Linked DNA regions of Daphnia pulex. The protein of the gene in region 2 interacts with the protein of the main gene of each other region in a pairwise test. Links are inferred from orthologs where the notes say so. Each region holds a gene or a part of one and is shown on either strand. Other genes may lie near its edges.

What was found.
Region 1: the proteins of protein bicaudal D-like (region 2) and clathrin heavy chain 1 interact in binary tests that used the Drosophila melanogaster proteins (3 or more experiments, as listed by UniProt). The link is inferred for Daphnia pulex from reciprocal best matches to the Drosophila melanogaster genes BicD and Chc.

What each region holds. Positions count from the first base shown.
Region 1 is NC_060017.1:1,777,729-1,782,330, forward strand, and holds the start of clathrin heavy chain 1, read right to left. Parts: upstream 2,926-4,602; 5' UTR 2,623-2,925; coding exon 2,581-2,622; intron 2,105-2,580; coding exon 1,897-2,104; intron 1,829-1,896; coding exon 1,398-1,828; intron 1,339-1,397; coding exon 1,225-1,338; intron 1,100-1,224; coding exon 926-1,099; intron 849-925; coding exon 672-848; intron 609-671; coding exon 1-608. Other genes in the region: TWiK family of potassium channels protein 9-like, read right to left, coding at 3,366-3,850, 4,133-4,259, 4,348-4,602. UniProt on the Drosophila melanogaster protein: Clathrin is the major protein of the polyhedral coat of coated pits and vesicles.
Region 2 is NC_060027.1:4,510,344-4,514,593, reverse strand, and holds the start of protein bicaudal D-like, read right to left. Parts: upstream 2,973-4,250; 5' UTR 2,709-2,972; coding exon 2,508-2,708; intron 2,345-2,507; coding exon 2,150-2,344; intron 2,088-2,149; coding exon 1,917-2,087; intron 1,859-1,916; coding exon 1,621-1,858; intron 1,559-1,620; coding exon 1,188-1,558; intron 1,119-1,187; coding exon 912-1,118; intron 860-911; coding exon 646-859; intron 579-645; coding exon 279-578; intron 212-278; coding exon 42-211; intron 1-41. Other genes in the region: guanine nucleotide-binding protein-like 3 homolog, read left to right, coding at 4,129-4,144. UniProt on the Drosophila melanogaster protein: This protein is essential for differentiation. It may play a role in localizing of Nanos (a maternal determinant) activity in oocytes. Functions redundantly with BicDR.

The DNA.
Region 1 (4,602 bases), on a different chromosome or scaffold from region 2:
AGCAATCTGGTCTGTAATGGCCCTTCGGCTGGACGGTTGTTCTTCAATGCATCCAAAAGGAACGCCGTGCACGGTTGGACCATGTTTTGCTCAAGGAAAATGTCAACAATTTGGGCAATGTCGGCTAACGGTTCATCGTCTTGCACCAGCATCTGAGCGAACATTGCTCCTTGATCGGGACTGATGCGCATGACACTACGTAGCAGGAACACATAATCGGGCGTGTAACCCACTTTCTTTGCATACAGAACAATTTTGGAGAACTGTCCAGTTTCAGCAAAGCACTGAATAACTTTGTTGGGCACGTTCGCTCGCAAGTAAACCGATAGGGCCAAAGTAGGATCGGCCTGTTTCACCAAGTCACCAAGCTCTTCAGAGCATTCAAGTTTATCCTCTTTCAACCACTTTTCTAGCAGCTGCTTGCGACCTTGCTGAAGAACGGGACGACATAGTTCCAAGGACTCAAATTTGTTTAACTGTCCCTGATCCAACAAGATTCCAAAATACTGCAATAGCGGGGAAGTTTGGCCTGGCTGAGCGGCCACTGCTTGGAAGCGCTGGATTGTGGCTGGTGTTCTCAGAATGGCCTTCGGTGCATTGGCGGCAACCTAGGTACAAATAAATCTAACATTAAAACCAAACAAAGCATACGACAAGCAAGGTAGATGTACTTTAGCGGCCTCGGCATACTGTCCACCCTGGAAGAGTGTGTTGAATTTGCGGACAAAAAGTTCCTCAGCCCCAGCAAGATTATTGCGAGTAGCAATTCGCAACGCAAGATCCGGATTTTGCATGGCCGTCGTGATGTATTGGATGATGGTATCCTCGTCAACGCTGACAGATAGAACCTGATTTTCAAAAGTTAGCATTACATTTCAACACTTTCAAAACACTGGAGAATACAAAAAAGAAAACCAAAACATACTTGGCCTTTGCGATTGACCCCAATGATACCCGAAGAGGGCTCGTGTGGGGCGGTGACGAATACAGTTTCTGCCGAAATTCGGTTCATGTAGATACAGGTACCAGTCTCCATGTCATACAAATGAATGTAGCCGTACTTTGTAATCAAATACAGTACGTCGTGTTTCGGGCTGACCTAAAAACAACAACATTTAACAATAAACACACAATGTCAAAGTACATTCGATCGTTTTTCACAAACGTTTCTATTGCGGCGTACAAAATTATTCATTTTTTAAATGAAAGGAAATAAGAGTTTACCTGCATAGCTACGGGAAAGTCGTTCTGGGCTTCGGGTGGGAAGAAAACATCGACATTTTTCTTCGCAAAAGGCTGATTTCCGGTTGGCGGCGTTCCCACTTCAATGATATGCAACTGCGAGGAAATTTAAAGATTGAAACTCATCGAAATGACGACAATGGTTAAATGTTTACCTTTCCGCCCTGAGCACTTCTGACTGCGAAGCAAAACAGGGTAGAGAATTCAGGATTTCCCTCCATTTTGAACTGTGAGAAGGCAGCAGCGTGACCTTCGATGGGTTGGCTGACTTTTCTTTCGACAGAGTAAAGTTGCATTGCTCCAACGACGCGATTTTGCTGGGCGGATATGCCAATAAGAAGTAGCCACGTTTGCTTGGCGTCCGTTCTGTAGTTGATAATTTGACAGCCTGTCAAACTGGAGTGGCGGTCAAACATTTTCTGCGGAAGCGAATCACCCTCCATGGGCCAATGGTAGACGGCACCCTCGGTGACTAGGGCAATGGTATTTACAGAAATCCATTTCCAAAACACCACGTCTTCCGTCATGGTGTGAGCCTTCATCTTTGACTTCATTTCAATGTTGAAAATCTGGAGGGTTCTTCCAGCTAATAAAAGTCAACATAAAAAGACAATCATACACCCATCATGCTATTACTTACTCAAGAACACTTACCTTTTAGAGCAATCACTTTGCTGGCTGGATTCATGATGGCTGAATCTGCAGAGATCGGTCTTCTGATAGGGTTGGTTGGATCATGCAAGTCAATGATGACCACCTGTGCTGTTTCTCCCACCTTCTCTCGGACACAGATGAATTTGTCCGACTCCATGGTGAGAGTGCTGAATCCAATGTTGGCGGCATTGATCCCAATACTTGTGAGCTGTGTAAATTGTGAAAAAAGAAGCACTCATAAATGTGTGATCGGGAAACAAGAACACTTCCTTGCAAATAACAAGTATTGATTATGGAACCCTTACATATGCAGACAACCTCAATTACAGCTTTAAAATTCAAGTGGTCAGTCTTCAAGCCACACAAAATAAATTGGAAAAAATTTTGTGAAATCAGGTTCTCGTTTATCATGGCTGAAAACTATTGATTGCGAAAGGTGTGACTTGGCAAGTATATGTCACTTGATACCCATTGCAACAGTTATTAAACGATATACTTGTTTCATACTTGAAACGAAACCAAAAAAGCAGGTGCGTCATTTAAGCCATTTTACAGGACCGGAAAAGCCGTACAATCCGTTAAAAAAATGAATTGCCGGTGTGAGTCATTGGCCGGCCACAATCAGGCTGTCAAACCCATAAAGGTTTTTACTTAAACAATGATCAAAATTAAGGTAAAAAATACCTGGAGATGCTCTTGAAACCTGATGGGTAACATCTGCGCCATTATGACGGTCTGATGGTACAATCTAAGGTACAAACTCTTCTAGATCGGGACTTTTTTCCAAATAGCCTCCTGAGAAACCGAACGGATAGAGTGCTGTCACACAAGTTACAGAAATCGGCCCTATCAAACACGGCTTTGCCAACGCAAGTCAGAATTTTGTGTATCCATCCGCTAGTCCGCTGCCACCGCCGCCATCTTTTCCAAAAATAATTTTCAAAATGTGCATTTAAGTACAAATAGATACTTATAAATATGCGTTAAATGACTAGTTAATTCATAAAATTGTTTCCAATTCCGATATTTTCAATAAATATTTCACGGATTGCGACTTTTATTCTGGATCTATCTTGCGCGTGAATTTGATATTGGAACCGCCCCCTTTCGTGAAGTTACTATATGGCGGGACGTGGACATAAGGAAATTTAAATGTTTTAAAATCATTACGCCCCCATTTAAAAAAAAGCCAAATATAATTCTAAGAAAATTAAATGTACAATCGAAATTATAGAACAGATTTTAATATGAGCATGATGATCTATTTCACCGTTACGCAGCAACGCACAGATTATTAATCACTCACCAAAACGAGATAGCAAAAAGAGAAAAGGAAAAATGTAACCAACAAAAGAAATATAGAGAAAAATGAGTGAAACTGATCATATTTAAGAAGTTTGTGTGTGTGTGTGGACTGTATTTTTTTGTTTATGTTTTTTTTTTAATATTGTGGTCAGCTTGGCTTTTTCTTATCGGTCATCCTCATCATCGTCATCTTTGATAATTCCCAATCGTTTGGCAACGGATTTAACCGAATTGATAACTTCTTCCTGGACCAGATTAAAGGACATGGCCAGCAGAGCGATACCGAAGAGCAGGTAAAGTGAGCAGAGGGCAATGCTGATCTCGACGTTTTCTTTGACGTTTTGCGCCGGAACAAAGTCGCCAAAACCGATTGTGGTCAGAGTAATGAAACAGAAATAAGCCGAGTCCAGGAAGGACCACTGCTCCCATCCGCTGAAGAGGAAGGCCCCGCCAAAGATGTAACCGACCACCAGTAAAATGCTCAACCAGATGGGCACCGGTTTGTTGTGATGGACATCTTCTTCTTCTTCCGAGTCGATGTAGTCGTCCTCGTAGACGTAATCGTCATCGTAGTCGACTTCTTCCTGCTCCGTCAGTCGGCTGAGACGATTACTGCCGCCGCTGCCGCTGCCAGCTCCAGACGTTCCAGCTACGTGCGTGCGTCATTGTTACGTCACCAAAATGGGAGGATCGATAAAAACGGATCGAGTCACAACCCACGGCCACCCACCGAAGAAAGAAAGAAAGGAAAAAAAGGAAAAACTAGATTAGATGAAAAACCGCCTTAATTCTTTTCTGGCAGTTCTCGACACTCTAACTAAGATAGAGACGTCGTCTTGTTTTTTGTTCGCTTCCAAATATCCACTGACTCATCCGACACCCACCCATGATAAAAGAAGAAGGTATTTATTTATTTACCCAGCCAACTTACGTGATCGGTTGGAATAACGATGAGCCATTGGTCGCATCATTTCCTTGCCTTCAACTCCGTCCAGATCAGATTCCAATTCCAAACGGTCGTGCCGCTTGTCGCTCCCGCCGCGATTTCTATCGACTCCCTTTCAAAGTCGTAGACAATGCGGAGAGGGATTTCACAATTTTTGTCGCGTTGGTGATCAATATTGAATTGACTTGACGAATAAATACCGATTTATTGACGGCATCGGCTGGATGATCGGTTTTGTTCCGGCCGTTGTTGTCCGCTTGATCATCGGCATATTTGTTGTTGAAGAATCCGCTCTCCATGGCGTTGGGATCGTTCGTTTTCGGCGTACTGGGGCTGGTGGGTGTCGACGGCGGGTAATCGATCGCTCCGCCCCCGGGGCCCATTTCCGTTTCCGCGTTATTTCCACGGCCGGGACGAGTGGACCCGGGAGCTGTAGTTATTGGTCGATTGTTCCG
Region 2 (4,250 bases):
TATCAAGTGATCACTTGGGAAAATGCAATTTCAAGTTTTACCTTCAGAGTTCTTAGTTCAAGACGAAGTTTGTTCATCGTTTCAGAGACTATCGACTTTTCTGTCTCGTATTTTGACTTAAGATTTGCCAGTGCAACTTCGGCTGTTTGTTTGTTAGCCTTGACGACAGTGCGTAGAGTGGCAATTTGCTCTCTTTTGGTTGAGAGCAAAGCTGAAGCAAAAACAAAGTTTCCCGTTACACTTGATAATCCTAATAATACTTTTTGACAATAATATACCTTTGAGCTTAACAATTTGTTCTTGGAGTTCAGCGACATCTGACTCGAAGTTGTCTCGATCCTTGTCTGATACCAAGTCGTTGGGTGTGTCTTTGGTGTGGCTTTGTTTGACCAGCATTTCAGCAGCTCGGCGCAACAGACGAACTTGCTCTTGAAGCATGTGCAAGAGTCGAGTAGGATTTTGAAGAGAAGTGACTGTAACACTGGATTCTGGTGAGATGTTCTCCTTATTGTATTCGGAACCGATAGAGGTTGGTCCAGCGACATCCGAAGCTAAGCTACTAGGTCCACTGCCAGCATCTATTGTAGTTGTTGAATCTTAAGTCAATATTCAAAAGCAAATTCATTTTAACTAAGTTCTACTTACCAGTTGAGCTCCGGATAATTCCTGCATGGGACCCTGATCCTGCCTGAATGCCTACGGCAGCACACAGATGTAGCGTAAGGGCAGTGATGTCATCTACAAGAGGAGATAGTTCAGACTGAAGTGCTACCAATGTAGCTCGACTATCACCAGCCGACTCGGAGGAGGCCGCAATTTCAGAGTGAAGAACTGACACTTTTTGCTCTGTATCTAACAACTACACGAAAAGGTGAGTAAATGTCTAATTAAAAAGGTATTACAAAAATTACCCTCTTCTTCAACGCGATGAAATCTTGTTCCATATCAGTTGGTAGTTGACCGGTAGATGCTCCTCGGAGAGCCCATAATTCTTGTTGAGCTTGCTGAAGTTCCCTAACAGCCAGCGCGGTACGATGCTTGAATTTATCAACCAATTGCTGAAGATACGTAGACTTGCCAGGAGCAGAAGACGGCTCTGATGGTGTCCGATCAATTTCCTACGAAAAACAAAAAATAATCATTTGAAACCTTAAAAAAAAATCAGAAAAAATAGAAAATAGCTTTACCGAAGCATTAGTAGGAGTTTCCACAGTTTCGTGAAGGTGAAGTAGGCTAGCCAAATACGCATCCAGTTTGGCCAGTTGAACATGTCTGGATGCTGCTTCGTGTCGGGCAACATCGGAGGAATCTTGGGCATCTCGTAGACGTTGAAACAACATCCCTTTTTCCGCTTCGACTTGTTCTAGCTGTCTTTCTAGTTTCTTGACTTCGTTCAAGTGAATTTCACTAAACAAATCTCCACCACCCTTGTTGTTCCCATCGCCCCCTTCTGTCCCGTCATTGGTTACACCACCAGTTTTCAGGAATGAGGCTTCAAGTTTTTGCAACAGTGGACCGTCGTCTTCACCTTCACTTGCCCCATGTTCTTCAGATAGTCCTTTAATACAAAAAAGGAAATGACAGAAACATAAATTAAATAAAAATTGGTTTCACAATTACCTTTAATGCTGAATGCTAAATTGCTCAAATTGAACATGGATTCACTAGTCATTCTTGCATCAAGATCTTTCTTGATAGCATATTTGGCTTCTCTTTCAGCTTGTAGGGCATCTAATGCTTCTTCCATCTGTTTTTCAGCTAATTTTCGCAAATGCGCCAACTCTGCATTTTGTTGATTGAGCAGCTCGAGTTCTTCTTGCAATCGACGTAGTTCATGTTTGTCTCCCTCTAGTTCAACCTAGCCAAAAATATTTGGTTAAATGGAATACTGGAAGGAAAATCATTTTCAACATTACCTGAGAAGACCTCAACACAGACACTTGCTTTTGAAGACTGATGTTTTCTTCCTCCAACTCTGAGTAATCACTAAGAAGGCGGGTCTCTCTGTATTTGAGTTCTTTCAATTCAGCTTTTAAAGTTTTTCGTTCAAAAATGTAGACTTCCCTCTCTTTCCCAGTATCATTTAACTAATTCAAAAGTGAATAAAATATAATTACACAAGTGAGACTTGCATATTATTTTACTTTACTTGTTGAGTGAGTTGGTCTCTTTCAGCTGTCACCCTTTCCAGTTCAAGGCGCAAATGCTTTGTGTCAGCTTCAAGATCAAGGATTTGAGAGTTGAGAGATGTTTCTCTTGCAGCTGATTCATATAAAAGAGATTCTTCGGTTTCTATGCCACTCTTGGTTGTAACCTTGTGACTATTCTGGAAGCGAGCAAGTGCCTGTATACATAATGTTACATCAAATTATTAAGACATATCAAGAAAAAATATCTGATGTATAAAACATAAGAACTCAATGTAGAGTAACTAAACAGATATACAGGGTGATAGCACAAGGTATGTGATGGTGCAATCCATTTAAATAAAAAGCATAGAAGGTTACCTCACGGGTTAATGCCAACTCATGTCGAGCGTTCTCAAAGAGACTTTCAAGTTCTTCACATCTGTGTTGAAGATTTTCTTTCTCTTCCAGTAAAACAATCCCATATTGAGCGGACTGGATTTTTTCACTGTTCGTCTGGTCCAGCTCTCTCGTCAACCGTTCGATTTCCAAGTTTAAAATTTCTACGTTACCCACTTCCATTTTATGGTATCAATTAAAACGAGTGCTTAACCAGTGCTTAATAAGGAGGGAAATTGTAACAGTTAAAAACGATGGGTGCAGCGAAAATAAACGAGAGGTTTCACGAGGATTGGTGAAGGACGGTAGCCATGAGTGAAACTGTCAAGACCAGACCCTGCAAAAAATGAACTGAACAGCTGACCACATATGCCCTCAAAAGAAAGGCATGGTAACCAGGAAAAACTTTAACAAAAATAATAATCTATTAAAAATATGAATCTCTCGTTATTTTAACTTGAAAAAAAATTTGTTTTAAAAATAGACTTATTTTATGATTTTTAGTGTCAGTCGTGAAACGTTTTGAGAAATCACAACAAAGTAGCGAGGAGGTGTGGCAACCAAGAGTAAATAGTTCGTCTGTTCTGATTGCGAATATTTTGATACTTTTTCAAATTTACAAGGTATTGGTGTATTGTTCTTCTCATTGGAGCTTTTAGCTAATTAAGTATTTGTTTCATTAATAAAAAAACTCTGGTGATTAGTTTTATAATCCACTATAGCCTAGTTGTATCAGTCAATATTTATTGTGTTTTGGTAAATTGCAGATGATCGTCCTGAGAACCTGATTGCCGGTCGTTTTGTAATCTTAAAAAACAAATACGAGCTCTGAATACGAGTAGGAATGTCATCAGATGAAGAAGCGCGAGTCTGGTTAAGAGAACACTTTCTGCGAACACTAACCAAACTCAATGGTAATCAAAGCTTTATATAACATAACCCAATTGTATTTTAACTGTTATTTATTCTATTTATAGGAGTGGAAGCTGTTTTCACTATGCATGAAAATATTACAGTTACTGGTCAATATGAATGCTCCAGTGCTGATTTAAAATATTTTCATGTCTCTGGCCTAAAAACTCCTTTGGGGAACTGTAAACAATCTCTTTTGAGATCTAGTGATGTAATCAGCATTGATTTCAAAACACCTTCCAGTCTATTCCCTTTACCAGTTTCAACTACTGTTTCCAAAGATTGTTTACAGAGTCAATAAATTTGTTTGGTTCAACAGTTGTTTTGTCATTCTTTAGAAATTGGAAGTGCTTTTGCTTTCTTCTCTAGTCTTTCAGGTTCTTGGCTTGCTTCTTATTTTAAAATTCAAGCCTATTAAGAACTGACAATTGACAAATAAGAAAAAATTTCTGCTTAACGTGCGAATTGTATTACATAATCAATAACAAATAACCCTTAAAATTTAGTCAGAATTTTTTAAAATTTTAAATAATGAAGGAAGAAAAATTATGGTCAGAAAAGGCTTCAGCATCGGTAGTTCACAACGGTATGTCAAAAATTGATTTTCGTCTGCTCATTAGTCCACTAGCTTTTCTGTTAGTGTTACTTGGCCACGTGCGCTGTTGAACATTCGTCACCAAGCAGTTTTAAAATGAAGAAACAATTACGTATGTTATTTATCATTCACTTTATGTATTCGCACTTATTCGAGAGTTTTTTTCTTTTGTATAATCCTAAGAATATCAAATATATTTTCCTTTTTAAATTCTCTAG